Linked DNA regions of Mytilus edulis. The main gene of each other region encodes a partner of the protein of the gene in region 3 in a complex. Links are inferred from orthologs where the notes say so. Each region holds a gene or a part of one and is shown on either strand. Other genes may lie near its edges. The genes, in order: ubiquitin carboxyl-terminal hydrolase 46-like, WD repeat-containing protein 48-like and WD repeat-containing protein 20-like.

Region 1 (10,842 bases), on a different chromosome or scaffold from region 3:
GCAGCTGATCTGTTTAGTTCCTTTTTAAAGTTTGTATAATACTGAATATTCTATGAAGTGTTTAGTTAAATGTTGGTCATAATTTCTTCTTTTTCTTTCACTGTTCTTTTTCAACTTAAATTAGAATCGCCCCTACATTTCTTCTTTTTTTGTGATTTTGTGATTTTTAATTTATAAATTTTGTTTATCTCTATTTTCATTTGATTTTGTTCAATTCCTCCAACTTAAAGTACATGTAGCTAACCTAAAAGTTGTGGTAAATAAATTTGCAGAATAGAATAAGATAGAGGTTCACAAAATTTTAAAGACATTTTTTTAATAGTAGTTCCCACATCCTTTATAAGCCCTGAGTATGAATATAATGTGTGATCACATACCATACTCTTTTCTCAGTCTTGTGATAAATTTCTTTGGGGCAATGGTTCCCACTTTTTTCTTCTGTGTAGCTATACTATAGAAAAGATCAGCCAGGCAAGTCAATAATGTCTCCTTCTTATTATTCTTCTGGTGTTGTTTAAATTGTAAAACTTTCTCTCGGAATGGTCGACAAAAATACAAAGCTTGCAGCACAGAGTTACCATAACATGTGTTACCAAACTGCAAAAAAAAAATAAGCAAGAAATGTCAGGAAGTGTACATTCCCTTGAAAAAGTTATTTAATTTGCTTTTTTAAAATAACATCTCAACCTCCAACCTCTTGATTACATAGTTGACAACTGCAAAAGCTTCTCTTTTCTTGTTGGTCGTGCAAACATGTTTAATAAATTTAAGAAAAAAAATACCAAGATAATTTATGCATACATGTAAGTGAGTATTATGCTGATTTTATTTTTAAGTATTTTGACATACATGTATTAAAAGAGGTCATAAAACAATATGCATTTTGTCTACAATGTGTTAACAAGGTAGAGTGGTTTATTATGGATATGCATGAGTTTGAAGACCATAAATGCTTTTCTCTTATGGTTGTGGCCTATTTGACTATTTCTTAAAATTGAGAAAGGAAATGGTGAATATGTCAAAGCGACAACCACCCGACCATAGAGCAAACAACAGCCGAAGGCAACCAATGGGTCTTCAATGTAGCGAGAATTCCCGCACCCGTAGGTGTCCTTCAGCTGGCCCCTAAAATATGCATAATAGTACAGTGATAATGGACGTCATACTAAACTCCGAATTATACACAAGAAACTAAAATTTAAAATCATACAAGACTAACAAAGGCCAGAGGCTCCTGACTTGGGACAGGCGCAAAATTGCGGCGGGGTTAAACATGTTTATGAGATCTCAACCCTCCCCCTATACCTCTAGCCAATGTAGAAAAGTAAAACAATAACAATACGCACATTAAAATTGCATGGATAGATATTTCTTGTCCAAGTGATATCTATTTCTCACTTATTACTAAAATTATTAATATTAAAAATATTTCTAAACATGCTAAAGTGATAGTTATAATAAATTCATGAAATAACACGTATGTTACTTGTAAATTGTTTCATATCAGCATTAACCTATAATATTACTTGATAATTTCTGAATTTGTTACCACTTACATTGACCAGACCAAAGTAATGTTCATTGGTGGGCAACTGGTTCTGTACCTATTTCTATATTTTTCACTTACATTGACCAGACCAAAGTAATGTTCATTGGCTGGTAACTGTTCTGTACCTATTTCTATATTTATCACTTACATTGACCAGACCAAAGTAATGTTCATTAGCTGGTAACTGTTCTGTACCTATTTCTATATTTATCACTTACATTGACCAGACCAAAGTAATGTTCCTTGGCTGGTAACTGTTCTGTACCTATTTTTATATTTATCACTTACATTGACCAGACCAAAGTAATGTTCATTGGCGGGTAACTGTTCTGTACCTATTTCTTTCTCCAGCTGTGAAGGATTATTCCCCTGCAAACAGAAAATAATGGAAACATACTTTTGTGTTTCCTAACATTCTATACATTGTTACTACTGAAACTACCATGTATCCCATGCCATCCATCTTCATTTTTTAAAATCCTTTACGTATTGAACATTGTACATGTACATTTTATTTGCATGAGCAGATGTCTAAAAGGAGGGTGTGGCTTGTTTTTGAGTTTGTAATGTATGCAACATTTTCAATGATGTTTACTTGTCCTGATCAATTAATTAAAATAAAATTGGGATTGCTTATTGAATATTGGTAAAACCCTTTGAACAGAACACTGAATGACTGATAATTTGCTATTTTAAATAAATCTAAAGTGTCCAAAAATAAAAAAAGTGACATACATGTGTGCTAAAAATGTAGTGTCTCATATGCAAACAGACATGACAGATAGCTTGATCATGTTAACAGATGAAAAAAGTAGAAGAAAATTAATGTGCTTGCTGGATTTAGAGTATTTTGGGGTTGTAAAAAGCTTTTTCAAAATGTAAAACTTTATATTCATTTCCTTCAAGAAACAAAAAGGCAAAAGGGATCTGTCCCTTAATTTCCTGTTTTAACCCGTTTTTAATCATGCCCAACAGACCAGAACATTCATTATGTTGAATGTGGGCAGTATTTGGAAGAAGAGACCAGAAAGCGTCAATGCCCATTTGTCAAATTATGGCGTAATTTTCTGATAGAATTTTTATATAGGGACGAAGTCTCCATTACGGTAGAAAAATCAATAATAATAAAAAAAAAAATCCGGAAAATTTTCTGAATTTTTCATTTTACTAATGAACTCAAAATCGTTTACTTTTTTTCTTCAGATCTACTTCCTGTTCCGGTCTTGTTTGCATGAGACTTTGAATAAAATGTATATTCATCAACATATCAACAAATATAGGACGGAATTCAACACCCATTTTTAATAATTGTTTGATATGAATAAAACGTTACCTGATAACAGCGTTTCTCTGTTTACATTGAATATGACGTCATAACTTAAACAACTTCACAACTAAATTCCTAACAACAGAACCAATATTGGAAATGTTACGGTATTTCCGTTTCTTTTATCAACATGTTTGAATTAGAAAAAAATTAATACAGACTTTGTCCCCATTTACAGGTAATGCCTGCCTCATATTATTTTAATTTCAACTATGACTATAGTATGAGAGCATTAGAGCAAATGTCTTGAAATCCTCAGATATTTAATCATTGAAAGTCGATACCTATTTTGGGTTATTAAACAAATATTTATGAGGATCTGAGTGATTCTCCTTAACCTGTTTTATTCAGAACGACAGACATAATTAAGGTTCATCATAACAAATGGACAAATATGGCCGTATTTTTACCTCAAAAACTACTCTGTGTACAGACTTACCTGTGCGGTTTGAAAAGTTTTAATGCCTAGCATCCACTAGATATATAAAAGTTAAATGCATTTTGTGTTTAAGAAAGATAAAATCTTTCTTGGTTTTTGCTGGGCATTTTTTTTCCTTTCTTCAGAAGGTGCAAAAATAAACAAACACCTGCATTACTTTGATACTGTCCACTCACTGACTCAGATAAACTCTTTAACTCACCTATAGTTCTGAAGATACCTGGTGTCTATGTCAATTAAGGACAATGAAAACAACACAAACCGGTTTTTTACCTGAGGGAGCATCTCATAGTTGTTCCACAACTTAGTAAATTTTCACACCTTTTGCATGAAGGAAAAAAAATGCCCATCAAAATCCAAAAGAGAGTTTATCTTTCTGAAACACAAAATGGATTTAACTTTTTTATATCTAGTGGATGCTAGGCATTAAAACTTTTCCAACTTCACAGGTGAGTCTGCACTCAGAGTAATTTTTGGCATGTAAATACAGCCATATTTGTCCGTTTGTTATGATGAACCTTAAGGCTTGCAGTTAATCACGACATCAGTTGTGACGTCTTGTACGGCTTTCTCGTTTTCATTTTCCCTGAACACAATCCTTCTACGTCAAAAAAACATTAATATAAGTGTGTTTAAGAATTTATAATTTCAATTTACCATCTTCATTCGGGAAAAATCGTATAATTTAAACTTGCAGGCTCAAGTCAATAAATCTGACGTCCATTTTGAAATCTAAATTATTCTAAATTGAAACCAATAGTCGGATCGGAAATTAGCATATATTTCGGAATTTCGTATACTAGTTTCGGCCTTTTACATTTCGGTCCTAGTTGGTCCATCGGATATTTATTTTTTTACTTTTTGCAAATGTTGCTAAAACATCGCTGACAACAGCATATATGTGAATGGCATGTGCTCAAGTATAGAAGCTATACTCAAATGAGTCAGCATTAAATAAACTTATTGTTTCACTGATTTTATATTAAAATGAACAATTTGTTTCGAAAGGAATTGGTCAAATAAATGTAAAAAATCAACTGGTAAAGATGGTTTATCACCAAAAAATTTACAAGTTGTTTAAGTAAACCTGTAGTGAGTAAACCAATCACACAGCTTGTTAATTTATCATTATCAACTTGTCTCAAGATCAATTTCCACCATTTCCTTGCCGCTTTTCGATAACGCTATGACAACATTAAAGTTAACATTTTGAAAGATTGGAAAAAGGCACTGGACAATAATGAATACTTAGCATCAACATTAATGAATCTCAGTAATGCTTTTAACTGTCGTCCTCATCATCTACTTCTTTGTAAACTGGGAAAATAAGGGCTTAGTCCATCTCAGCACTTGAATTGCTCAAAAATTATCTGACTACAAGAAAACAGTTTGTAAAATAGGTAAGAGTATCAGTCAAATGCAAGATATTTATAAAGGTGTTCCTCAGGGATCTATACAGTAGGCCCTATATTATTTAATGTATTCGTAATGACATCTTTCTTTTGTCAAACCAAGTGGGATTGATATAACTATGCTGATGATAACAATTTCTCAAAATAAAGTACAACCGTTTGGAATCAACAATTAAACCCTTAGAGGAAGACGGTAACTCCCTAATATCATGGTTGAATTCATGGTTCTCTTTCAACAAAATGCAGGCAAACCCAGAAAAATTCCAGGCAATTGTCATAGGTAAAAAACACACACTCAAAATATGGTCTTCAACCTAAATGGATTCAATATAAAATGTGAAGACGGAGTTTAGTATTTTTGTGACTTTACTTTTCACAACAAAACGTACTTAACAAAATTGGCACTCATCTCGAAAGACTTTCTAAACTTACAATATACCACTCATTTATCATACCAAGCATCATCTATTGTCCTCTTACATGACACGTCTGCAGTGAACAAAACACATTTTTTAGAACAAATACAAGAATTAAAGAGCAGCCATGGCCATTTATATACATTGTAGGGAAGCCATTTGTAACTGATATTTTACATTTTTTTCTTTTTTTTTCGTTGTGCTGTCCTAGGTTGGGTTTATTGGGGAGAGTTGAGTTTATGGCCACCACATTCATGACATCAGTGTTTATTTGCCAATGCCCATTCCAAAGCCAGGAACATGCAGTACAGTGGTTGTTGTTCATGGTTCATGTCTGTCAAGTTTTTTTTTCGTAAATTATTTTGGTATCAATGAATAAGGCTGTTAGCTTTGTTTGAATTGTTTTCAAATTTTTATTGTCGGGGGCATTTAATAGCGGACTCAATGATATGTTTTTTTCATTGTTGAAGGCCGTACGGTGGCCTTTAATTACTTACTACCGACGTCAGTGTAACACAGATGGATATTTGTATCATTAGTGCTGGATCGTGGTCAACCCTTAGCACATTTAGGGCAGACGGGATATTTTGTAGATCTTGTACAGCTCACACTAATGGGGGTAGTTCCTGTACTTAATTCCACGTCTCCCCTGCCTGTTGGAGAGGGTTTACATATCTTCTTTAGGTTTGATGAAGTGTCATCCGTATCGGACTTCTCCTTAATAAAAGCTTTAGGGCGACGAGTATTTTTCTCTATCCGTGCCTTTGATGGGTTCTTTTACAACGTGGTCTTAAGCATGATATATCATGTAAAGTCATTTCACCATTGTATGTCGGAGACATCATAGACGTCTGTCCAGGGAACAATCTTCAAATCGACAAGACGTGGTATAAGTAATTGTGTTCATTTAGTCATGGATACCAAGGGTTCACGAAAAAGAATAGATGTGATCATCACATCAGCATGTACTTCGTGTGTATGAAGATAAAATGTATGTACATGTATATATAAATATATATCAAATGTATACTAACACGACTCCGTAAAGCTTTGGTACCGCTAAACTAATAAAAAAAAATGTTCTATTAGGATAAATATTTCTAACTAACGTCACCGACGTTATATTACAAGGGGAAAACTAGCTTCTTATGTCGCAAAGGGGGAAAAGGGGGGTGGGGGGGGGGGCCTGATCCTCGTTTCCCCCCTATAACGCTGAGAGGGAAAGTTGGATTATGCCAATTTTTCCGGGGGGAAATATCGGATCGATCCAGATTTTCCCCCCGGAAAACTTGGCATGGGGGAAGAATGGCTATAGCTAAGACACCCATAGGACACCGGCACACAGTGACACCGAAATTTGATAGGCATCATATAAGAGAGGGACGAAAGATACCAAAGGGACAGTCAAACTCATAAATCTAAAACAAACTGACAACGCCATGGCTAAAAATGAAAAAGACAAACAGAAAAACAATAGTACACATGACACAACATAGAAAACTAAAGAATAAACAACACGAACCCCACCAAAAACTAGGGGTGATCTCAGGTGCTCCGGAAGGGTAAGCAGATTCTGCTCCACATGTGTTGCTTATGTGATTACAAATCCGGTAAATAGTCTAATTCGGTAGGTCACATTCATGTGTTATGTATATGTATTGTATGGTCGTATGTGTTTTGTAGTTTAGTGGTGAGAGTTGTGTCCCTTTGTATGATGCTGATGCATATTTTTCATGTGATGTTATCTGTCTCTTTGAAATAAACGTGCTATGGAAATAGATGTGTTTTTATTGCTCTTAAGCAAATATAACTTTAGCGGCATGGGGAGGCAAGTATATATCCCCCCATGTACGTAATACATGAAAGGGAAGGGGATTGTAGTTACGACGTAAGGAACATATCCGATATCATTTGTGAAACGGTTATTCCATAACGGTCAACCAACTCGTGATGGCGTCCGTAAAATTTACGAAGGGATGATTTCAACTTCACCATTTGGAACTCTTGGTTTAATAGCTTCCTTGTGAGCAGTAACCCTCTGCTGCAAGATTAATGATATAAGTTTAAGTGAAATGTTGTACATGAAAGCCTTTATATATTTACTGTTTATAAGTGTATTATTTCAGAAGAATATAGAAGAAAGCATTTAAATTTTAAAATGATATTGCATTAAAAATTGTATCATGGAAAAATGAAGGCCGAAATGATATCTTGGGCCGAAATATTGAGGACAGAAATTTAGTTGATTTGCGCATGTCTCTTCCTTTTTCTTCCGGTCAGAAATCAGAAAGGTTGTTGCACGTGTTTGTCGGAATATTTTTTCCATTTTTACCCTTTTAAGCCGTTTTGTTTTGTCAATAAATATTCACTTCGACAAATATTTATCACATTTATACAAATGCTAAATGTATATCACAAAAAAATCCTATGTTCTACAGGATAGGAACGATTTTTTTCTTCGCTTTGGCTTTGACCACATGCAATTATCACATTATGTTTGAAGTACATTGTACTAATTTCAAAAATGTCATTGCAATATTTCCATTTGGAATTTGATTAAATCCTTTTAATATAGAATTTTTAAAGTTTTCGTATTGAGCTGTTGTGTTCATTAAATCGGTTAGCCCAATAGCTGTGGAACTGTAGTTCTTACTCTTAGGGGCTTGCGTTATATTCTAGTAACAACAAATTAAGAAAAAATATCAAAATTTACCCTCTTAGAAATTGCCTTCCCCCTTTCAAAGCTTACTGATTGTGTCATATGTTCACAGGTACCTGTGTAATCAGAATCTTCTATAAATTTTATATGAAGTAGACAAAATGGTAAAATATAAAAAAAAATTTGGTCTATGGCAACAATCTGCATATTTGTGTTAAAAATTGCAAAAAGGGTGAAAAAGACGTCTCATATTTCCCAAAATATTTACCAGAAGTAGAATTTCAATCCATAGCTTTTCTGAAACTGTTTAGGCCGAGAAAAAAAAGATCGATGTTTCCGGTAACCCGACCGACCCTGTTTTTTAGCCCTGACCCTAACTTTTTTCTTGGATCTTCAAAAAAAAAAAAAAAAATTGTATCATCCGACCCCGTTTTTGACACAGGCTTCTGATAGATGACATAATATTTTTTCTCTCTTGCTTCTACTTGCATAGAAAGCCAGTAAAACATTTTATTAATGTCAAAAGGTATTCCAAAAAGGTTAAAATCCAAGAAATTTGCACAGCAGGTGCTTCAAAAACATTGCAAATGGCACACTTCCGGGTTTTGAAACTAATTACGGATCCGCACTTGGAAAAACCATGATAATTTTCCGGATTTCATTTACAATGTCAAAAAAAAAAAAAAAAAAAAAAAAAAAAGAATTCCGACCTACCGACCCTATTTTTCAAAATGATGTTACCGGAAACACATATTTTTTTTTTTAGGCCTTACATATATACATTTGTATCCATCAAGAAATCACTCAAAATTATGTCTCGTCTCATTTTTTTCGGGGGTATAATTGCATATTCTTATAAACCATCTTTGATTGCTCAAAATTTAGTACTCCACTGTCTAAAAATTAATTTGATTGCACAATAACTATTATATTTGAAAAATCCATCAGGCCGAAATGCGAACACCAAACCTTATTGTGATCTTTGCTCAATCAGTTTATTTTTGACAAAAATGAGATGAAACATAAAACTCGAAATAAAAAAATTTGAGCTAACCACAGAAAAATTGTTCAAGGCATGTTTATACATCTCAAAACTTTTTGTGGGATTGCGATTTTTTTTTCTTTTTCTTAAACAAGTAAATTTTTGAGAAAATTAAGGGTGAGATTTTTCAAACATTAAAATTACTTATGCATTTATATTTTATTTACTTCTTCAAGTGAATAAAGATTTCTTGTTCAAGTACAAATATCATATCATATTTTTTTTATTCACTACAATATAAACTTGGTGTGACTGACACTGAGACTATGATTTGAATTTTGGCACACAATTTTTTCCAAATTTTACTATCAGTGATTTTGATCACTTTTGAATTAATTGTTGAAGATTCTCAATAGACATTAGCTGGAAGTTAAAAATTGAAAAAAAATAACACTAGAAATTTTAAATTTGTAGAAAAAATGATGACTTTTGAGCCTGATCTTTTTTGTTTCTGCTTTTAATTTAGATTGTGACTGTTCATTAATTTACTTTTTGAGCCATAATCACTTACCCTTAACTTTGATGGCGGTGTTAAAATTATTTACAAAATTTATATAATGAATTAAAAATGTGCAGATGATTTAAAAAAAAAAATGTTTCCTACAAGCTTTAAAAATTGGTTCGATTACTGCAGAGAAAATGCTTTGATATCTGTATTTTACTAATATAAGATTAACTTGGATTTTAGCAGTCCATGTTAACTTTTACACAGCAGTCACATGATTCTCTCTAACCATGATTAAAGTTTTTCAGTACATGATTATATGATCCATGGCAATCCATACATGTATATATAATAATTTATTATCTGGTATTTGTAGACTTCATCATGACCAACACAAAGGGTTATAGGCGTGGTACACGTTATATGTTCTCAAGACCATTCAAGAAGCATGGTGTTATTCCACTGTCTACGTACATGAAAATATACAAACGAGGAGACATCGTCGATATTAAGGTTTGTTATTATTAAAAAAAGGATACCATTAAAGAAGCAAGTAACAATAGGCACTGATTATACTAGTTGAGTGTTGAAAGTATATCTAATAAAGTGGCCCAGCCGAATTTTATTTCTGTCCAACCTTCTAGTGGCTAACTGGGTTGTCTAAAGATATAGTTTGTTAAATAATGAATATTAGATGGTGACAAAGGAGAAAATTTAAATTGAATAACTACAATGGGGCCAAAATAAAAAGATTGTATGTTTGCCCAAACGCGACCGACCCAAAATAAACCCGCCGACTCAAATTCTTTTTTTGACGTTTTTTGGAAGAATTTTTTTTTTCTGATTTTTTTTGGGTCCGCTCCGTCATCGTACAAAACTTAATGTTTGTCGTCTTTGCGTTTGAAAGTAATTGTGAATAAGATTAAAAGAAAGCGTATAAGAGACGCAGTTAATCGATATTCGATGTTCTCTGTATTTATCTTCTGATTTAACGAACGTAAAGAAGTAAAACAAGTGAAGTGGCACAGTTTTTTTACGCTGTAGTTGTTTGTACTACCAAACCCTTACCTATATGCTCAATGTTAATTTCATCGTGTTATCGAATATCTGATAAGAATATTCAGGTAGATTTGTTCAAAACCATGTGCAATCGAATATTTTCAATGTTATTCTGACAGGAAATGGATCCGGAAGTTGCGAATTTACAATCTTGCAAGAAGATTTTGTTTTTACTGAATAAAAAGGAATTATTTCTTGTTAAATTGTTGTCTTTAATTATAATCTTCCTTTATCATGTAAATTAGATGTCCTTTTATTCAAATAGTTCAAATTTACAAGTCTCATTAGACAGTCAGTACGTTGCTGTTTGGGAGAATTTGTTAAAACTATAATTGCTCACAGAATCGGAAATAAATCTTAACTGAATGTAACTCCTTCTGAATAATTTATTGCAATATAAATATAAATCCCTTTTGACAAGAGAAATCTGACTTTTGTCAAATATTTGTTCACATGTGCAAAAGTAAAAACATGTTATGGACGCCATATTGGAT
Region 2 (10,867 bases), on a different chromosome or scaffold from region 3:
CATCTACTATATATCTTCTCTTTGCTTGATTTATAATTTCAATTTCATCCTCAGATTTTTGATTAAAAACGGCAGTTTGGAATTTTTCATTTTATTTACAATTAAAAAGTGATCTACAGTCCTTGGATTTGTATAAGTATTTTTCAAATGGGTCTACTTGTCAGATGCGTGGAAATGACTGTTAGTGTATACTACAAACATTCGTACTAGCAGACACATACATGTTACTAGGTTCCAAAGTCGAAAGGTTCGGTTCGGTATTATAGAAAATTTATTGTTCATCAAAAGCTTCGACGCCTTTAAGATCAGCACATGGTTTACAAAATTTTTATAGAAGTCAAATTTTCTTGTTGATGTATTACCTTTTAAAAGAAATTATTAAAAATGATCTCCAAAAAATATATCCTTACACAAATGCCAGAGCTCTGGTCAAATGCTAAAAACACAACAATGCTAAACTTTCAGTCAATGGAAAACAAAATTATAATATATTACGTTACATTGACGTTAAGTGCAAAAAAAACGTTCAATTTTGACGTGGTAACATTTCGGGGAGACACGGACAACTTGATAGAAATTAATGAAAAATTTAGTGTTTCCTTCGCATTAAAGGCATAAACGAATCTTTAATAAAATCACATTTCAGGAGTATCATTTGTTTCATAGTTCATTTGTCTATCACAAATTTAAAATACCCTTAATTATCATGGTACTGAAAAAATCTTGAACAATGGCTCTATGGTAACATTTAAGGGAGACACGGAAAATACTGAAAAAAATAAAATGAGAGAAGTTATGTTAGAAATAAAAGTGATGTCGTAAAATTCAATAAAATCACATTTTCATGTAGAGGTGGCGAACCTTTTCTATGATTTATGTGAAAATATTATAATATCGAAGTGGTTGCTTTCATTTTTGTATACTTGAATTTTCAAATCTTACAGCTCTATGGAATTTCGGAAATGACCGCTAAATTGCGAAGTGACATAATATTTATCGTGACCGTTTCACATCATGAATATGATCATATTATATCCCACCTGTACAAATTTCATCGAATTCCATTCAGTAGTTAGTATTTTTTCTTCCGTTTATATTTGAATGGTTAGTAATTGTTGTTACGTCTTACACGGCAAAAAATGGAATTATGGACATGGAATTTTTGCTTAATTATTTTTTTTAAATCAGGTTTTATCTAATTTCGATTCAAATGATGAAACAAGACAAGTAATTTTTTATAAAACGTAGAATTGATTAGTTTTTGTCCTACTTATGCATCAAGAAATGGTCAAATGAAAAATTGACCGAATACCGTGCGTAACGTCATACTAGTTCAGTGATAATGGACGTCATACTAAACTCCGAATTATACACAAGAAACTAAAATTAAAAAAGCATACAAGACTAATAAAGGCAAGAGGATCCTGACTTGGGACAGGCGCATACCAATATTATTGGCTAAATAGTGGCTGTAAGTAAATAGGTCTGCCTGAATTGTACAAGACCGATTCTCAGAGCTGAATTTTTCACACACGAACTGAAAAAAATATAATATCGCTCTAGACATACCAATACATATTCAGTTAAAGTTGTAATGATTGAGAATATAAATTACAGTTCAAACTGCACAGTCCAAGTACATATAACGTAATCGACATAACTTTACGACAAAAGAGATGATTTCGTAAATTTTACGGACGCCATCACGAGTTGGTTGATTGGTAAGGAATACCTGGTATATAAGATGATATCGGATATGTTCCTGATGCCGTAACTGTAATGCCGTCCCCTTTTCACGAATGTGACCTACCGAATTAGACCTTTTACCTTTAATTTTTACATATTTACCTATTGTGTCTTTTTGATTTGTTCACGCATCATTATCAATATTATAAAATTAGATGGATCTGTCGTACAAGTAAGAGGTTTAGCGCTAAAAAACCAGGTTTTAGTCACCATTTTCTACATTTGAAAATGCCAGTACCAAGTCAGGAATATGACACTTCTTGTCCATTCGTTTTTGATGTGTTTTGTCATTTGATTTTGCCATGTGATTATGGACTTTCCGATTGGATTCTCCTCTGAGTTCAGTATTTTTGTGATTTTACTTTTTAAATAACAGTTTAGCTCCACAGTTGCAGTACGTTGAATGACAATCTGGTTTCATGGACGTATAGCTATTGTGACCAGACTGCACCAACAATTAATTAGAAATAATTTGTCTTAGTACCTTTTTAGTGTGTGTTAGCGCAGCCAAAAAATAACAATAATTTTCAATATTGTCAAAATATGTATGCACGAACGACACTCCGCATAACTAAAAGTAACAACCCTTACAAAACAAAACATGCTTACACATGCATATATTTCCATGGCGAATACATTAGAAGATACATTATTACCTTTACTTTTTGACAATGTGCGCTCCTTCAATTGTGGAAATCAACGGATCTAGACACGTTTTTAGTTTTTTTGTAACTTTCGAGGTAAAGTGTTGAATTTAAAAAAAAATGATAGTTTTAATGCTCGTTCAAGATTATAAAAATATTTACACGCTTATATATTTTATTCCAATTAAAGGTTCCATAAGTTCTGAAGACTTATTATAATGATGTTTTAAAATTGAGAGACATGTGTTATTTTGACAATCATATATAGATATGGATATATAATCAACTTTATTAGCTCACCTGGCCCAAATGGCCAAGTGAGCTTTTCTCATCACTTGGCGTCTGTCGTCCATCGTCGGCCGTCGTCGTAAACTTTTTACATTTTTGAACTTCTTCTAGAGAACCTCTAAATTAAATGAAACCAAACATGGCAAGTACTGACCAAGTGTTGTTACTTTGTAGCCGATCCATCATCCAAGATGGCCGCCAGCGCCCTACGGGAAATACATACAAATGTCTTCTTTTAAGAGAACCACAGAATGGAATGGAACCAAACATAGCATGAATTTTCCTAATGAGATGCTGACCAAGTGTTGTTACTTTTTAGCCGATCCATCATCCAAGATGGCCGTCAGCGGGGGACTTAGTTTAGCATGGGACCCTATGGGAAATACATACAAATGTCTTCTTTTAGAGAACCACTGAATGGATTGTAACCAAACATAGCATGAATGTTCCTTATGAGGTGCTGACCAAGTGTTGTTACGAAAGCCGATCCATCATCAAAGATGGCCGCCAGCGGGGGACTTAGTTAACATTGTACCCTATGGGAAATACATACAAATGTCTTCTTTTAGAGAACCACTGAATGGATTGAAACCAAACATAGCATGAATGTTCCTTATGAGGTACTGACCAAGTGTTGTTACGTTGTAGCCGATCCATCGTCCAAGATGGCCGCCAGGGGGGGGGGGCTTGGTTAAACTTCGGACCCTATAGGAAATACATACAAATGTCTTCTTTTAGAGAACCACTGAATGGATTGAAACCAAACATAGCATGAATGTTCCTTATGAGGTACTGACCAAGTGTTGTTACGTTGTGACACGGCGACATATAAAAAATCGAGGAGCAAGTGATGAGAACTTATTTTAATAAGATTGAATGAAACCAAAAATAGCATGAATGTTCCTTATAAGATGTTGACCAAGTGTGTTTACGTTGTAGCCGATCCATCATCCAAGATGGCTGCCAGCGGGGGACTCTGTTTAACACACTACCCTATGGGAAATACATACAAATGTCTTCTTTTAGCATGTTTAGAAAAGCACTGAATGGAATGAAATAAAACATGGCATGAATGTTCCTTATGAGGTGCTGACCAAGTGTTGTTACTTTGTAGCAGATCCATTATCCAAGATGACCGCCAGACGGGGACTTAGTTGAACATGGTACCCTATAGGAAATACACACAAATGTCTTTTTTAAGAGAACTTCTGAAAGAAATGTAACCAAAAAAAACAATATTAAACCAAATTTTGCCTAAAACATCATTATAAGTATCTGTTACAAATTTTTACATTTTTTAATATTTCAAAATCCCAAATAGAATCAGGTGAGCGACACAAGCTTTAGGGAGCCTCTAGTTCTATATTCTTATTGGCCTCAGCCAGACCAGAGTCATACGCATGTGTAAAAGAGCAATATTGAAATATTGTTGTTCGGTGTGAGCCAACGCTCCGTGTTGGAGGCAGTACCTTGACCTATAATTGTTTACTTTTATAAATTGTTATTTGGATGGATAGTTGTCTCATTGGCACTCATACCTCATCTTGCTATATCTATATATAAACAGATAAACATAAATTTTCAAACATGTAGTAGGAATAATTTTCTAATCGATCAAATTATCAGAAGACCATTGTCGATATATTGTGGAAAGACAGTATTTTCATTTAATCTTTGAGATATTAATATAGCATTAATATAAAATAGTTTTACTATTAACAATAACCACAATAAACCTATTTCTCGTATCAAACATAAACTAAAAGAACTAGCCAAGGAATTTGTTTTTGTCCCGATCGATAAAGCTGCTTATAATATTATTATTGTTACATTGAGGTTCTGAAAAAAGAAATCACCAATTCACCAACATTCCAACTGACTCCATTTTCAGAAAACGACATCTGTAATAAACATAAACTTTTAGCTACCACTTTGATGGCGTGCACAAAGCTGAGTCCAAAAACGTAACGTCTTTAAATTACTAAAATCATTTACCGCTATTTTCCCCCAGAAAACGTAAGCGTAACAAAAACACTGGACAATTAGTTTATCACATAACTTTAAACATAAACGTTCAACATATTTCTTTTTCTTTCGAATAACAAAGTACAGCAAATGCACATTCTGAAAATGTTAAAAAAAAAATATGCTTAGAACAGTGTAATGGAGACAATTAGCGACTATGTCATGGACCCTAATAACAAAAATAGCGTTAAAACGTCATTTCTTTAATCTGTAACATAATGGCTGGACAGTTTGGAAAATTCAGGTGTTCAGTCTGGACTATCGAATCCTTCTTATATTGCAATTTTTTGAAACCTCTTTTTATGCACATTTAGAATATCAAGTCATTTCGCAATATGAAAATAGCAAGTACATATTTATTTTAACGATTCTTCCATGTTCTAATATTAAGCTTTAAAAATGTCTACTTCTTACATATAACGAACTTCATTTCCAACACATCCTCCATGGCCAATTTGGATTTTTTTTAGGTAAAGTTCGTTTGACTTTATAGTCTGAATCCTAAAATATCTACTGTACGAAATGCAAGAAAGTACGTTAAATTTGTACAAATTTCAGGTCAAAAACTCTATTTTATGCTTATTTAATGTTACAAGTTACATATGTTTTTGCCGTTTCCATGTTTGTTTCATACTTCATAGATTTTATTTTGAGAACTTTTTTTAATAATTTGGATGTTAATGGCTAGTGTTCATCCTTTCATCATAAAAAAAACTTCCTGTTTGAAATGTATGATTTACATGGTTGTATAAAGCTACTTTTAAAAGCGCATTTTACAATTGCCGTCAACTCTGTGCACGCCGTCATTACAAGCAGAACCAAAAACAACGAAAGTCCCAACTATGTATTGGATTCCGAAGCTACACAAAACACCTTACAAATATAGATTTATTTCGTCTTCAGGCAAGCCATTGTTCCACTACTAAATTGTCTATTCTTCTTACCAGTACACTTGGTACAATCAAAAACCTGATAATAAATTGTTCAAATAAGGCCTTCGAAAATAGTGGAATTAATTACTTTTGGAGTGTCAAGAACTCGTTGGAAGTACTTGATAAATTGCATGCTTATATTGGTGATTTTATATCTGTTAAAGTTTTGATTTTTCTACCCTGTATACCACATAATTTGCCTCACATTCTCATTAAGAAAAAATTCACCCACCTAATTAAATGGGCATTTAAAAAGTCTGAATGTGAATATATATGTTCAACTTAATTACTCTTTTAGGTAATTTTTTGGTAGCAATAAAAAAACAAAACTTTGTCAATTGGACATGCTTTGATACTATATATGCCCTTGAATTTTTACTAGATAACATTTTTGTTCGCTTTTGAGATTCCGTATATCGTCTGCAGGTTATCGGAATTCCAATTGGGACTAACTGTGCACCACTTATAGCGGATCTGTTTTTGTAATGCTATGAGTTACAATTTATTACAAAAATTTAGCAAAGACTGACTATCGAAACAACATATGATAAAATCTGATAATTAGAATGTGATATGCCGTACAGCTTTTCCCCATGGTTTGTACTCTCCCCTGAGGTACTCTCAGTTGAAATAACTTCCACAAAATAGCGTCAGCGTTAAAATATTTATCCAAAGACAGTGTATTTTATAGATATTTGTAAATGTGTTTATTTCTTATCTTTTTAATAGGAAGTTGGTATAAACTCAACAATTGAGATAATTTAATCGGTTAATGTAAAAAAAATGTATAAAAAATTGAACGCAGCAGAGCTAGATGAAAAAAAAATGAGATATTTCGTGCTAAGAATTAAAATATGTTTTATTGAATAGAGAAGAAGTGGGTTTGGGTCGCTAGAGTTACTATCTCCAGCTTTATCATTAGAAAACCTGGAGACAAAATTTTGTGAATCCGGATTAGGCTAGTCCTTCCGATACCGAATTACGGTTAGAATTATTCCCGAATTTAGTGACGTATTTCACATGTTATCAATGGCTACACACCACAGAAATTCGGCAGGACAAGGCAAAAAGAAAGTTCAGGTGACTGACAAGCTATCACAAATGTTTGGTGCAAAATATATTTGTTTCTGAAGAACTTAATACATATAGAAAGACGTGGATACTTTTGGACAATGTACTTTTTTATTTAAGAAGTCAGAAGAGTGAGATAAAAAAAAAAATTATACCAAACACATACTATGAATATGATACATGTGTAGCTGCGGAACCGTAGCTCTTAGTCTGGTCCTTATGATATTGTATGACTATTTGCCTACCGTATCTCTTAGGTCCTCGTGATATTTTTTTACTATCTTTAGACCAGTAAAAAAATATAAGGACCTAACTGATAAGAGCTACCAAACAAGGCACTTTTTTCTATCCAAGTCCATGGAAAAATCCACTAGGCCATACTTAAAAATATATTGGTTTGCCCAAACCCTACCCAAAGGTTGAGACAGTGGGTAGGTAGGTAGGTAGGCATTTTCTTTTTTTTTTCAAAAAAAGAAATTGAAGTATCAGATGTTTATTAGTCTTCATGCCTATTTGATTAAAAAAAAATTCTTCAAATCAGGACAATAAAAGAATTTGAGTAGGCAGTTTTTATTTTCTGGGTAGGTAGCGTTAGGGCAAACAAACCTATTATTTATTATGGCCCTATCAATGTATATTTATGTAAATGAAAAGTGTTATTTACATGCAAGTTTTTCAGATGTTTTATTTCACTTGATTTCCAGTTTTGACGTTTTAAAATTTCTTGTTTTTGTGTTAAAGTAGATGTGCGTTCTCCGTTTTTGCCCTTGTGTTTTTGTGTTGGTACTTTTTATTTCTCGTGCTTGTCCTGTATTTGATTCAAAGGTCAACCATACTAATTCTGCCCAGATATTGTATGTGTATGGTACATATATGCAATAAAGTCCATGAGATTACTATAAATTATATATTTTTCAAAACCAGGTGCAACTTATGGACACAAAAAAGTTGACTGCAGGGTTATCATTTCTGTTAAATTATGACTGCATAATCAAGTATTTTTTTCATTAATGTTTATGATTTTATTTCTCATGCTTGATGTTTTCCTGATTTTCTTAGGCCTGTTTATGTGACGTATTATGGTTGTCCGTCGTCAACATGTTGGAAATTTTCAATGAATCTTTGGTGAATTTTGTATATCTATTGACGTGAGCTCCTTTTCTTTTTTATAAATTTTAGATGTTACATGTCCAAGTTTGGGTTTTTTATTCATTACAAAAAGTGGGATTTCCCAGTTTTCAGACAATAACTCAAAAACAATTTTACCAAGAATCTTTGGCACATTGTTTACATATATATTGACATGAGCTCCCTCTGGATTTTTATAAATTCTAGAGTTTATGTTTTTAAGTTATCAGGTTCTATTCATTACAAAAAGGGGGATTTTTCCAACAATATTTTTTAATTTTAAAAATGCTTTGAGTAGTTTTCCTGAAATTTTAGTGAATTGTTTATACATCTATTGACTTAAGTGCCCTTTCAATCTTTGAATTTTTATAAATTTCAGATTTTAAGCTTACTAGTAATGGGATTAAATTAATAAAATAAAAATTCCTAAGGGTTCCACGGAACCCAGTGTCTCGCCTACTTTTGCTGTTAATCGCAGACTCAACAAAAATGAGGAAAAACATCAATAAAAATTTCCCTCTCAATACTGTCTTTTGATTGAAAGAAGCTTCCAAGTAGGTAAAAAAATCCAGGATACATGTAGTTTATGAATCTAATAAATGTTTTATAAACTTTAACTGCAGACTGTATGTAATGTTAACTGGAAGAAAAACTAAGTCCAGTTATAAGTCAAATATGGAAAAGTGGAAATTTATTTTTACAAAATTTTCTTCTTGATACTATCTTATGATCATAAACATGCTTCTGTCCAAGTTTGGTACAAATCAAGGATAGTTTATGAAAGTTATTTAAATTTTAAAAACTTTAACTACAGAGTGAATGTAATGTTTTCTCGCAGAAAAACTAAGTCCATTTATAAGTAAAATATGGAAATGTGGAAATTTATTTTTACAAAATTTTCTTCTTGATATTATCTTATGATCATAAACAAGCTTCTGTCCAAGTTTGGTACAAATCAAGGATAGTTTATGAAAGTTATTAAAATTTTAAAAACTTTAACCACAGCGTGAATGTAATGTTTCCTCGCAGAAAAACTAAGTCCATTTATAAGTAAAATACGGAAAAAATGGAATTTTATTTTTACAAAATTTACTTCTGGATACTTTCTTATGATCACAAACAAGCTTCTGTCCAAGTTTGGTAGAAATTTAGTATAGTTTAAGAAAGTTATTAAAATTTCAAAAACTTTAACCACAGAGTGAATATTTGTGGACGCCGCCGACGCCGATGGAATGTAGGATCGCTTAGTCCCGCTTTTTCGACTAAAGTCGTAGGCTCGACAAAAAGGTTTTTTTTTTAGTTTTCTCTCACAGCTTGGAAATAATGAGGACCATTTCTGGTGTATCACTGTTATAACCAGATCAAAGATCCTGGATCAATGGAACACATAATTGCAGAATATTAATGACCCACTTATTAACAGTTTCATCTTTTTTATTTGTTAGGTTTCTTTTGTTATCCGAGATGAAGTTGAACGACATCACAGATCTGGGATTAACTCCCTTCAGTTTGACCCACTTATTAACAGATTATACTCGGCTGGGAGAGACTCCATCATCAGAATATTTAACACAAAGACCAACAAGGTAAGAACACATTATCAAACAAGAACAAGGTAAGAACACATTAACAAACAAGGAAGAAAGGAACACATGGAGGTTGTTAGAAACACGAAAAACATGTGCGATAACAAAGACACAGATATAAAATAACACTAAGAAGGCAAACACAGATAAAAGGAACCAAAAAAAAAGGAATCAGGTGAAAATATTGCAGATGAAAATAAAAATAAGAGGACACCTGGACACACAACACAAGAAACTGAAATTGAAACAGGAATAAATTGACGAATGTAGGAACAGATGTAATGAGGACAATACACTTTATAAAAGTAGGAACAGTTTAACACACAGACAAATAAGGGAAATACTAAAAACCTACAAAAGTACAATGTAAACATATACAAAAAAGAGCAGAGATGACAAATCAGAAAGAAACAAAATAAACTCACAAGTTAGGAACAGACTGACAAATACAGTAAGAATATGCAAATGAACACATTAAGAACACAACTGAAAAGAAGTTAAATACATTAAAAATGCATAAAAATAAAATCCAAGAACTAGTTGAAGTAGGTAGGAACACACAATAAAATCCAAGAACTAGTTGAAGTAGGTAGGAACACACAATAAAATCCAAGAACTAGTTGAAGTAGGTAGGAACACACAATAAAATCCAAGAACTAGTTGAAGTAGATAGGAACACACAATAAAATCCAAGAACTAGTTGAAGTAGGTAGGAACACACAATAAAATCCAAGAACTAGTTGAAGTAGATAGGAACACACAATAAAATCCAAGAACTAGTTGAAGTAGGTAGGAACACACAATAAAATCCAAGAACTAGTTGAAGTAGGTAGGAACACACAATAAAAGACCACAGACAAATTAAGAACAAAAAAATAAGAAGACGCACATTATTACAGAAAATGTAGGAACACACAGCCAAACAAGGTAGGAACACACTAACATATGAGGTTGGAACATACTGACATACAAGGTAGGGACATGAGAACAAACCAAGTAGGAACACACAAGCATACAAGGTAGGGCATGGGAACAAACAAGGTAGGAACACACTAACATATGAGGTTGGAACATACTGACATACAAGGTAGGGACATGAGAACAAACCAAGTAGGAACACACAAGCATACAAGGTAGGGCATGGGAACAAACAAGGTAGGAACACACTAACATATGAGGTTGGAACACACTGACATACAAGATAGGGACATGAGAACAAACCAAGTAGGAACACACAAGCATACAAGGTAGGTACATGAGAACAAACCAAGTAGGAACACACAAGCATACAAGGTAGGTACATGAGAACAAACCAAGTAGGAACACACAAGCATACAAGGTAGGTACATGAGAACAAACCAAGTAGGAACACACAAGCATACAAGGTAGGGACATGAGAACAAACCAAGTAGGAACACACAGCCAAACAAGGTAGGGCATGGGAACA
Region 3 (10,306 bases):
TATGTCAATGAATTTGATAACATGGACATGATGCCATTGATGGAAGTAAAACTCCTTTTACATTATGTCCCCTTTTACATTACACCTGTCCCCTTTTCCCTAATGTGACCTACAAAACTAGCTTTATTACCGGGTTTGTTTTAACATGAGCAACATGACAGGTGTCACTTGTTTAGTTTAAACATATTTTATTGTTCAAAATGACAAATGGATTAGACACAGGTTTTACAACTTAGTAATGTCTTCTCCAAGGTGTCACTTGTGGAGTAGGATCTCTTTACCCGTCAGGAGCACCCTAGATCGCCTCCAGTTTTTGTTGGTGTTCCTTTTGATCAGTCTTTAGTTTTCTATGTTATGTTATATTTTGTGTACTATTGTTAGCTGTTGGTCTTTTTCTTTTTTGGCATTGTCAGTTAAATGTATGAGTTTGAATGTCCCTGTGGTATAGTTTGCCTCTCTTATACAGGAAGGTTTAGTTTTACCTAATAAAAGCTACATAAACCTGGAGTAAATTAAGGTGGTACCCAACACTTTCACTAAAATTAATTTGGCTCGTTTAATTTTCATAAAATTTTTTAAAATTATTTACTTTGACCCTTTAACAAAAATTCAAAAAATTCAAAAATTTTGAACCAATCGTCTTGTCAGAAAAATTACACTGGTTATATAGTAGTTTGACAAACACCAATTTTGATCATTGAGAAGCTTAATATTCCTTTTCCAACACAACGTAATTAAACCACGTTTAGCTAACTTTACAGAGTTATCTCCCTGTAGTGTTAGGTACCACCTTAAGTAAGGAATCTAATGATCCTGATGATATAAGAGACAAAAATTCCTTGTTTTGAACATGAACTGCACTCTTCACTTTGACTGTCTCAGCAAGTGGCAGTAATTCCTAAACTAGGTCTCAGCTTGATACATTATAAATATATTCAACAATGGCCAATCTTCAACATTTATATTGAAAGACTAGAATATAGTTCATGATTTAGATATATTGTTTTTTTATATTGTATTGCTGATCTTTTTTCTTCTTTTTCAGTTTCTCTCCGTCTTTAAGAGTTTTTGCCTAAATTACATAACTAGGTCAGGGGTCGAATTTAAGCTTTTTTGTGTACTGGCCAGCTGGACCAGTGGACTGAAAACTCTACTGGTCCGGCTCCAAATCTACTGGTCCTGCAAAAATGACATTAATTTGACAAACACTAATATAAATAACAGATGTTTAATTTTATTTTTAGTGCTTTCCTTTACACAAGTTAAACAAAGGAATAGTCTTTATTCTGATTTTGATAAAGGCTTTGGTAATCTCAATAATTTTCTTTATCAAAATCAGGATCAAGGACAGAAAAAATATCCAACATTGTCTTCCACGTCATCGCAATCCTCACGACGACCATAGGGTGCCTGACTATAGGTCGTCTGGAGCGCTGTCCAGAAATATTCGATCTACTATATAATGCAACCATTCACGATCTTTTTCCCATGATTTTTGGTAATTGCGTTTCCTTTTGTCACTTTCGTATACTTTATTTCGATCTTCCTTTTGATTTTCAGTTATCTTAACTTTTTGTCCGGCGGTTTAACTCCTTCCAAAAATTTCCACATTTTATATTGTTGTGAAGGACGCTGTAATACCCCCATCCCCCATCCCCATCAAAGGGTACATGTACATTTGTACATCAGGGCAAATAACTAAGAAGTGGACTGACAATGCAATTATCAGCACTTTTGACCTACATGTATTATATGTACAATGTATATATGCAGATCTTGTCTAGCTAAGTACTATATATAACATGGTTCTTACAATTAACATATATTTAAACAAACGAATCCGAAGGATGAGTTTATTTAAATATGTTAATGAGTAAGACACAGGGTATATAAAATTTGTAATATAAATAAAATGATTGACAGCTTCAAGACCTTGAACTAATATTGTAAATTGATCACGTTACAGTTTTATCCAATGAAATGGAAGCTCGTGCAAGTCACTTTTGCGCCTCGGTATGATCTTCTGTGTGTTTCATGTAATAGAATCCCCAAATTTGAAGAAAGTCAAGAAAATGTCGGATTTTCCCGATTTTTTAGTTTTGCGCCCCGTGTATGATCGTAGAGGCAGGTAATTTCATAAGGTCATCAGAAAGTAAATAAAAATGTCGGATTCCAGGGACAAGGATTAAATTATTATTCTAATGGCGGTAAGATTATTGTTTTTTGTTGAGTTTCAAGGTATCATAAAATTAATCATAACTTACAGGTTGTTCATCTAATTGAAAAATGCATATTTATACATGTATAGTTTTCGTACAAACTGCTTTTCTTCCGTTATTTCATTATTTTGATTTTTAGATTATTTATTAAAACACAATTTTAATGATAAAACACTGTATTTAAACAGTGTCGGATCAAGGGACCGCAGATAGTGTACACCCCCCTAATTGATCGCAAATAAAAAATTATGTTTTTCACAGATTTTTGTTCCCGATATTTATTTCTTTTCTACATGTACATGTATAGTTACCCCCTATTTGAATCGTAATTTCATTGAATTTTAGCAAAGGAAACGATAGTATTACATTTTTTTTTTTTCACAAGTGAAAGAAGAAACATTTAATATTTTTTCCAAAATTAAGGGAACTCGTAACAATTCTATATAGTTTGAAAAAAGTTTCTTGAGATGGGGTACACATGATTTATTGCTTTTTGTTATAAAATGAAAACAAATGAAGATCTTGACCTTTTAGTACATTTTTCAGTTTCCTGAAAATTTCAAAGGCGGACACCTTTCAAAAAAAGGTGGAGCTTCAGCCATGGAAATCATGAAAATGAATATGTTGTACCATAGCTAAGCTCCGCCTTCTTTCCTTTGGATTCTAGTTGAGTTGCATATTTAATTAGCAAAGTATGGTACATCAATTTGCATATAATATACCATGGTTTTCCCTCACCACACTTTTTAAGCAAATTATTTCATTAAAACATCAAAGTCTTATTATTTTATTTATAAAAACAAAAAATTAGGTAAAAATCATAATCAACAGATTATTGTACAGTAACTCCTACCCATTTTAGATTTAAAGATTAAAGGCAGAAATGAAATCGTATTAAATTGTCTAAAAGAATTGTATGATATATAAATATATACATATATATATATATATGCTTTATAAGTTTTTTAATACAAATTGCATTGTGTAGGAATTTTGAATGAACTGCAAAAGGTGGATAGAAACACTTATAATCAAGTCGTAGTAAAAGCAAGGAGGTACAAAACATGGGGCATAATATGTATCCCTCCCTTCCCCCCTCTTTCAGAGTAGACATTTAAATACTTAATAATACAAACTTCTTCATTGTAAAGTTTTCCCAGCTCTTTCTTTATAGGATCAATAAGCTGTAGCTGTCCTGCAGTAAAGCCTACTAACAATCTAACACTCTCACTGGATATAATCATTCTATTAAAATCATGACATGTAGGAAATGTCCCTTTGTATAATCTCTTGTCTATAGGTTTTGTCAAATCTGCAGCCTGAAGAATAAATACAAAATCTTATATGTTTGTTCATATTTTTCACGATTCGACTGCATAGCAATACACAATATTTTTTTCCAATTACAACTGGATGAGTTTGACCTAAATTTGTCCTTAAAAGATTTTTTAGGTGTATGTTGATCATGTTGATGTTTTATGAGTTTTAGGTGTATATATACATTGTATGTTGAACTCTTGATCATGCTGATACAATACAATACAGAGTTTTTTATTGTCAATTATGACAATTATGTTAATGAGTATTTTTGGGGTAACTGTTTTATTGATGACTGACATTTTCCTACCCCTCATTTTTTACTTAATAATATATGATATTCCTTAACAAACATGGCTACACTTTGATCTTTAATTGTTTACTTTTTACAAATTGTGACTTGGATGGAGAATTGTCTGATTGGCACTCTTACCACATCTTCTTACTTCTACATAGTAGAATTTTGGGAATGTCTTTCAGGTGTAAAAAATACAATGTAGAAGCATAAGACTGTTTTCTTTGTTTATCATGTTCTTCGCCTCATGTACCCAATACCAAGGTTGTTATTTTCCTTGTTTACAATGAACATGATGCATGTTAAATGTTCAGTGTAAAAAAGTTTCATGCAATAAAAGTAATATTTTTTATCAAAAATAATTGTATGTTCTACGACTTTTTATAGAAAATAATAATAATAATTTGACTCCTAAAACATTGAATATCGGCAGCTATTAATTAAAACCATATTCACATCCATTAACAAATTAAATGCAAATTCTGCAAAAAAATAAATATGAACATTTATATGAACCCTGCATTCTTCTATACCAATACAGGTTTACTGTGTGTTGTCAAATGTTTCCTGCTGGCATTCAAAGCACTACAGGAAAACATTTATTTCCTTCTATGGCAGACAAACCTGAAATTGGTCTATTCATCATAGACATAATAAAACATGACAATGCATCCTCTGCAATGATATTTGTTTGAATGCAAATTTGGGTTAATAAATTAATCATTAGTATTTCAAAAGAAAAAAATGTCAGTAAAAGCCATAATATTCAAACCTCAACGGACTTCAATTTTAAATACCGGTTTCATCATAAATTTTATGTGTATTTATTCCAAGTCTGGTGCAAAATTTACAATACCTGGAGTGGTGTTTTGTGATTGTGAAGTACATATATATTTTATGCAAGTTGTTTTTATATTCTGTAACATAACTTTGCAAAATATACCTTTTTTACGCCCTTATAAACATAAAAATACAATTCCCTGCCAACGTTGAAACATATCCTATCTGGCGACGGAGAACCATCGTTTACATTAATGAATGACACTCTGGATGGAGTGTTAGTTTGACCATTATAGGGAACTCGGGTAGGTTTTGAATATTCTGACAATGGCATCAATTTGTACGTCCCTTCCCGGGTTACAAAGTGAGTTTTAATGTCATCTTTTCCTCCGCCCTCACTTTGGGACGCCATATTGAAATTGAGTTTTCGACAGGTGCCCGGATAAGATAAGTACGCATGCGTCATGTAAACTTCCGTGAAATAGGTAAACAATAACACGTGTGTTTGTTTACATGTTCACTTGATAACTAAACAAGCTTATTTTCAGATGACCGGTCAAATTCATTCACAAATTATCAACTTTTCTTACCATATCTTTAGCAGATAATATGAGGCAGGCATTACCTGTAAATGGGGAAGAAGTCTGTATGAATTATTTTTTTGTAACTTTTAAAAATATTTAGTCTTTAGTCTTTAGTAAGTGTCCCAAATGACACTGTAAACACTTGTGTACGTTTCCTCTTTTGTAGTTTCTTCACATATGTAATGTTCACTCATGTACTTAATTGAAATTGTGGCTGCTGCTTAAAAAATTTTGACTTAATTTTGATATAGATTTATAGTGTTTTTTGCTGTATAGTGTTTTTGAATCTACCAGACTCCGTTAAATAATTTTCCAGATGGCACAATATCTCATTTCGATTGTCTCTATTAATGTCTTCTTCATCGATTCCTAATAAGGTGTCTAAATCCATGTGTATATTTCCTGTAATAAAGTAAATAGATGTTCTCATTCTCTCTCTAGCCTCCTCATAGTTAGAACAATGTAAAAGATAGTGTTCTACAGTTTCTGGCTCTCCACAGGAACAGTTTTTGTCTGATGATGGTATAATTTTGGATTTATAATCATTTAGATCACAATAACCTGTTCTCAAACTAGTAGTAATTGAAAACGACCATTTGGATGGTAAATCTTTTGGTATTTTCTGACAGACATTTTGATGATAATTGTAATAATTTCTGCCACGTTGACTTGATTCCCATTGGTTCTGCCATTTTCTTAAAACACTTTCTCTTGCTGCACGTTTTATATCCTGCCTGGTTACTTCTGATGGTTCTTCTATTTTTTCAGCTTCTTTAGCTCCTTTTTTGGCCAGTGAATCAGCAATGTCATTTCCTTGGATATCAGCATGACCAGGTGTCCATTCAAAATTTAATGGAATTCCATTCATCATTAATACTTTCATGTTTTTCTTAATTTCTCTTATGACTTTGATGTAATTCTCTGATTTCCAGTTTAAAGTTAAAATTCCGATTGAGGTCTGACTATCTGAAAAAAGTGTAATTGAGTCTGTGTTTTGTCTGTTTTCTGATATTAAAAAGTGGTCAACAACAAGTTTAATGGCGATCAGTTCTCCGAGTAGTATTGATCCTTTCTTGGATACAGCTTTACTAATTTCAATTTGTGGTTGATTATTTGATGGAAAGATGACAGCACCTGCTCCTACAGGGCCAGGACTACCAAGACAGGACCCATCAGTAAATGCTATACATGAATTTGCAGGAAGATGACTTAATTTTTCCATTATAATGAGTTTTCCAACATTTTTTTGGTCTGTTGATCTTGATTTGGAATTTCCAAGGTTTTTCCAATAATCTGGAGGAGATTTATATCTTCGTATCCCATTAAACTCAAATTCTGCTTCTATACCATTTACATCAACACCTGTACATACCTTCATGTCTTCTGCCTGAAGAATCATTTTTCCCACTGGAGATACATATTTTTCAGGGATGTCAATTGTTTTCCAGTCATCCAGGATTTGTTTTATTGGAATGGAGATATCATACGAATTAATTTTTGCAAGTGTACGAGTTGCAATTTCTTCTCTACGCAGATGTATTGGTAGGATTCCAGAAACTACTTCCAAAGTCTCTACACTTGATGTTGGAGTAACATTAAGGCATATAGCTAATCCCTTTCGTTGAATTTTGTTCAGTTTGTCTGTTATATTGGTTTCACAGGTCTGCCAAACACTACTTGCATATTCTAAGGTGGAAAGGACAATACTTTGGTAAATTTGAAGTAGAATTTTTGTAGAAATTTTTGCAACTCCTTTGATCATTCTAAGTAGGCTAATTGCTTTATGTGCCTTTTGTTCCACATTTTCGATGTGTTTGAGAAATGATAGTTTTTCATCTAACGTGACTCCTAATATTTTTGGATTACAGTTATATTTTAACAATTTACCTTCTAGTTGTAAATTCATTTTCTTTATTGGACCATTCCTTGAAAAAATACAATATTCTGTTTTCTCAATACTCAAATTAATTCTCCATTTTTTGGTCCAATCCTGGATTATGTTAAGATCCTTTTGTACCTGTTTCTCCATGTCATTCAAGTTCTTTCCATTTATCCATACAGTACCATCATCAGCAAATTTACACTTTTTACATGATAGGTTAGCAAAAATGTCTTTGATAAAGATATTAAAAAGAAGTGGAGCTATAACTGATCCTTGTGGGAGACCTATTTTGGTTTCAAACCAGCTTCCTTTATGGTTGTTAATCACACACCTTGCTTGTCTTTCCTTTAAAAAATTGTTAATCCAATTCCAGATGTTACCTTTAACACCGTTATCATAAAGTTTTGTGAGAAGTCCTTCCCTCCAAACACTGTTAAAAATAAGAAACGGAAATATCGTAACGTTTCCGATTTTGGTTCTGTTGTTAGGGATTTTAGTTGTGACGTTATTCAAATTATGACGTCATATGCAATATAGACAAAGAAACGCTATCATCAGGTAACGTTTTTTCATATCAAATAATTATTAAAAATGAAATTGGTATTGCACGTTCCTTCCTATTTTATACTAGACTGATAAATATATATTTTACTCAAAGTTTCATACAAACGAGACCGGGAAAAGGAAGTACATTGTACATTTCTGCGCAGGTCCGGGATTTCAAAACATGACATAAAAAAATATTGAACGATTTTGAGTTCATTAGTACAATGAAAAATTCGGGAAATTTTCCCGATTTTTTTTTTTATTATTGAATTTTCTACTGTTATTGGGGACTTCGTCCCCATATAAATCCTTCGTATGAAATCTTGACTGAATGTTATATTATGAGCTCAGCTAAATATTTTAAAATCTCTTTAAGAACTTTTTAGTATATATAATTTATGTATCAATGCTTATTAAGGGGGCTCCTGGGTATAAATAATTTTTTTTTTCTAATATAGGATTTCGCTATATTTTTTCATGAATGAACTTTATCATATACTTAAAAGAAAAATGAAATAAAAAAATGGGGTCACCGTTCATTTAAGCTAAAATCTGCCTCTGGAAGAAGCATACATTTTTGTTAATGTCCTTTTTTTCTGTTGAACTAATAGGAGAAAAAGAGGAAATATCGAAATAAAAAAATAACCTAATATAAGAAATCGCTTAAATTTTACAATTATTTAGTTTATGTACAGCTTATTTGAAAACAATAATAAAAAATATAGGTCACCGATGAGTTAAAAAAGATATTTCAAATTTAAGGCCAAAAAATGGCATTTTTGCAGCAAAGGGAGATAATTTGGAGCTTTTTCAATTTTTAAAGTCATCTGGGGCCAAACCAAATCATTTTTTTGGGTTGTTTTTTGTACCATATCATAAAGTAACAACTAATAGTGTAATAAATAAAATTTGTAATGAAAAAATAGAGGTTTAATTTTTTGCTAAAATTTTTGTACCCACGAGCCACCTTAAAGGGACATTAGCTGTCAAATCCATAACCACCGATTTGACTCACAAATTTTAATATTTGATTTATAGCATACTAAGACGTATGTATGCAAATAAAGGACAAAATAAAAAAATTATCAAAGCATGGATAGAGAGATACCTATATTTTACTAGACTGATAAATATATTTCTGCGCAGGTCCGGGATTTCAAAACATGACATAAAAAAAATTGAACGATTTTGAGTTCATTAGTACAATGAAAAATTCGGGAAATTTTCCCGAATTTTTTTTTATTGAATTTTCTAACGTATATTAATGATTGTTTTTTTATTGAGAACATCTGTATAACTTGTATTTCTTTTAATATGCAACCTAATTTTTTGTTTGTGTTCTTTTTTTTTAATTGTTTATGAACATTAATAATGTGTTAATGAATACCACTGTCACGCTAATATAATTATAATCAAATTAACTATTGTCAGTTTATTGTCCTAATTTTGTATGCCATAACCATTTTAACTCGAATAATTCCGCCCCTCTATCCACTACTTTTCTCGAGGATGGAGTGATCGAAGTGATCATAATATAACGACTGGATTATTCGGGTTATAACCATTTAATGTAAATAACATATATTTAAACTAATTATGAAACCATACTAGTCAATAAATTTAACCAATTACTAGTACCATGGAAGTATTATATTGTCAATATAATACTTCCATGCTAGTACAGATTAGTAGTTCCTTTCACTTTCCTTTGCTAAGAGAAATTTAAACAACTGATCAGATATTACTTTTATCCATTTTATAATTTTACTGAATGCTTAGTGTACATACAAGTTCCTGTTTTTAACTAATTTTTAGTTTTATCCTATTCTAACTCTGTTACTATTATTTTAAATTTTAACCAGTAGATAGAATTTTAAATAACGCTATTTTAGAAATAAACAAAATTTTTAAATGCGGTGACCCTGCAGATAGGGTGGACTTCCTGAAGAAGAAGAAGTTTGTGCTAATAAATATTGTCTATATCTATAATACTAAAATTTGTCAGCCGTCATCACGTAAAAACGACGAATCAAAGAATTCAACTTTATATATAACTAATACAGTACAAAGATGTAGATTAAAAATTACACCACTCCAGGCCCTTTTGTTTTCCACGTAATTAATATTGCCAATAATTAAGAAGTTCCGGTTCGAGTCCGATACCGATACCAATAGTATATTCACCTGTTACCGATTACCTTATCTGTACGTTCCGCATCTGACAGGCGCACCACCAAACGGTGTATTCAGGATTAATATGCTATCAGGGCCGTAACTAGGGTTCTAATTCAGAGGAGGCAGGGGTTCGGGGGCCGCCGACTGAAAAAAACAAATTTTTTTCTCTCAGTAAAATGCCTTAAAATCACCCTTTTTCCTTTGATTTCCTTACTTTAAGGATTGCTTGAACCTGGAAGCAAATTTTATGCAAAAACAAGCTGAGATTGCTGAGAGTGTTGTTCTGGGTGAGCCAAAGCTCCGTCTTTAAGGCCGTACTTTGACCTATAATTATTAACATTAAATACATTGTGACCGCGGATTTTTTTCTAAATAGAATCAGTGGCTAAAAATGACCCGTTTTCCTTCGATTTCCTTACTTTAAGAAACATCAGTATTGCTGGATCCTGGAAGCAATTTTTATGCAAACAATTATTATCTGTATTTAAAGATATTTTAGTTAGAAATC

Evidence for each region.
Region 1: WD repeat-containing protein 20-like (region 3) and ubiquitin carboxyl-terminal hydrolase 46-like share a complex: the UniProt entries of both Drosophila melanogaster proteins name them as parts of the usp12-46 deubiquitylase complex. The link is inferred for Mytilus edulis from reciprocal best matches to the Drosophila melanogaster genes CG6420 and Usp12-46.
Region 2: WD repeat-containing protein 20-like (region 3) and WD repeat-containing protein 48-like share a complex: the UniProt entries of both Drosophila melanogaster proteins name them as parts of the usp12-46 deubiquitylase complex. The link is inferred for Mytilus edulis from reciprocal best matches to the Drosophila melanogaster genes CG6420 and CG9062.

Annotation. Positions count from the first base shown.
Region 1 is NC_092351.1:8,877,101-8,887,942, forward strand, and holds the start of ubiquitin carboxyl-terminal hydrolase 46-like, read right to left. Parts: upstream 4,061-10,842; 5' UTR 3,982-4,060; coding exon 3,973-3,981; intron 1,919-3,972; coding exon 1,838-1,918; intron 598-1,837; coding exon 378-597; intron 1-377. Other genes in the region: large ribosomal subunit protein eL21-like, read left to right, coding at 9,674-9,802. UniProt on the Drosophila melanogaster protein: Catalytic component of the Usp12-46 deubiquitylase complex.
Region 2 is NC_092355.1:81,254,340-81,265,206, reverse strand, and holds the start of WD repeat-containing protein 48-like, read left to right. Parts: upstream 1-6,646; 5' UTR 6,647-6,655; coding exon 6,656-6,715; intron 6,716-9,279; coding exon 9,280-9,420; intron 9,421-9,796; exon of another isoform or gene 9,797-9,969; intron 9,970-10,249; exon of another isoform or gene 10,250-10,347; intron 10,348-10,851; exon of another isoform or gene 10,852-10,867. UniProt on the Drosophila melanogaster protein: Regulatory component of the Usp12-46 deubiquitylase complex. activates deubiquitination by increasing the catalytic turnover without increasing the affinity of deubiquitinating enzymes for the substrate.
Region 3 is NC_092346.1:2,399,145-2,409,450, forward strand, and holds the start of WD repeat-containing protein 20-like, read right to left. Parts: upstream 5,061-10,306; 5' UTR 5,024-5,060; coding exon 4,775-5,023; intron 3,539-4,774; coding exon 3,356-3,538; intron 1-3,355. Other genes in the region: uncharacterized protein, read right to left, coding at 5,449-7,224. UniProt on the Drosophila melanogaster protein: Regulatory component of the Usp12-46 deubiquitylase complex.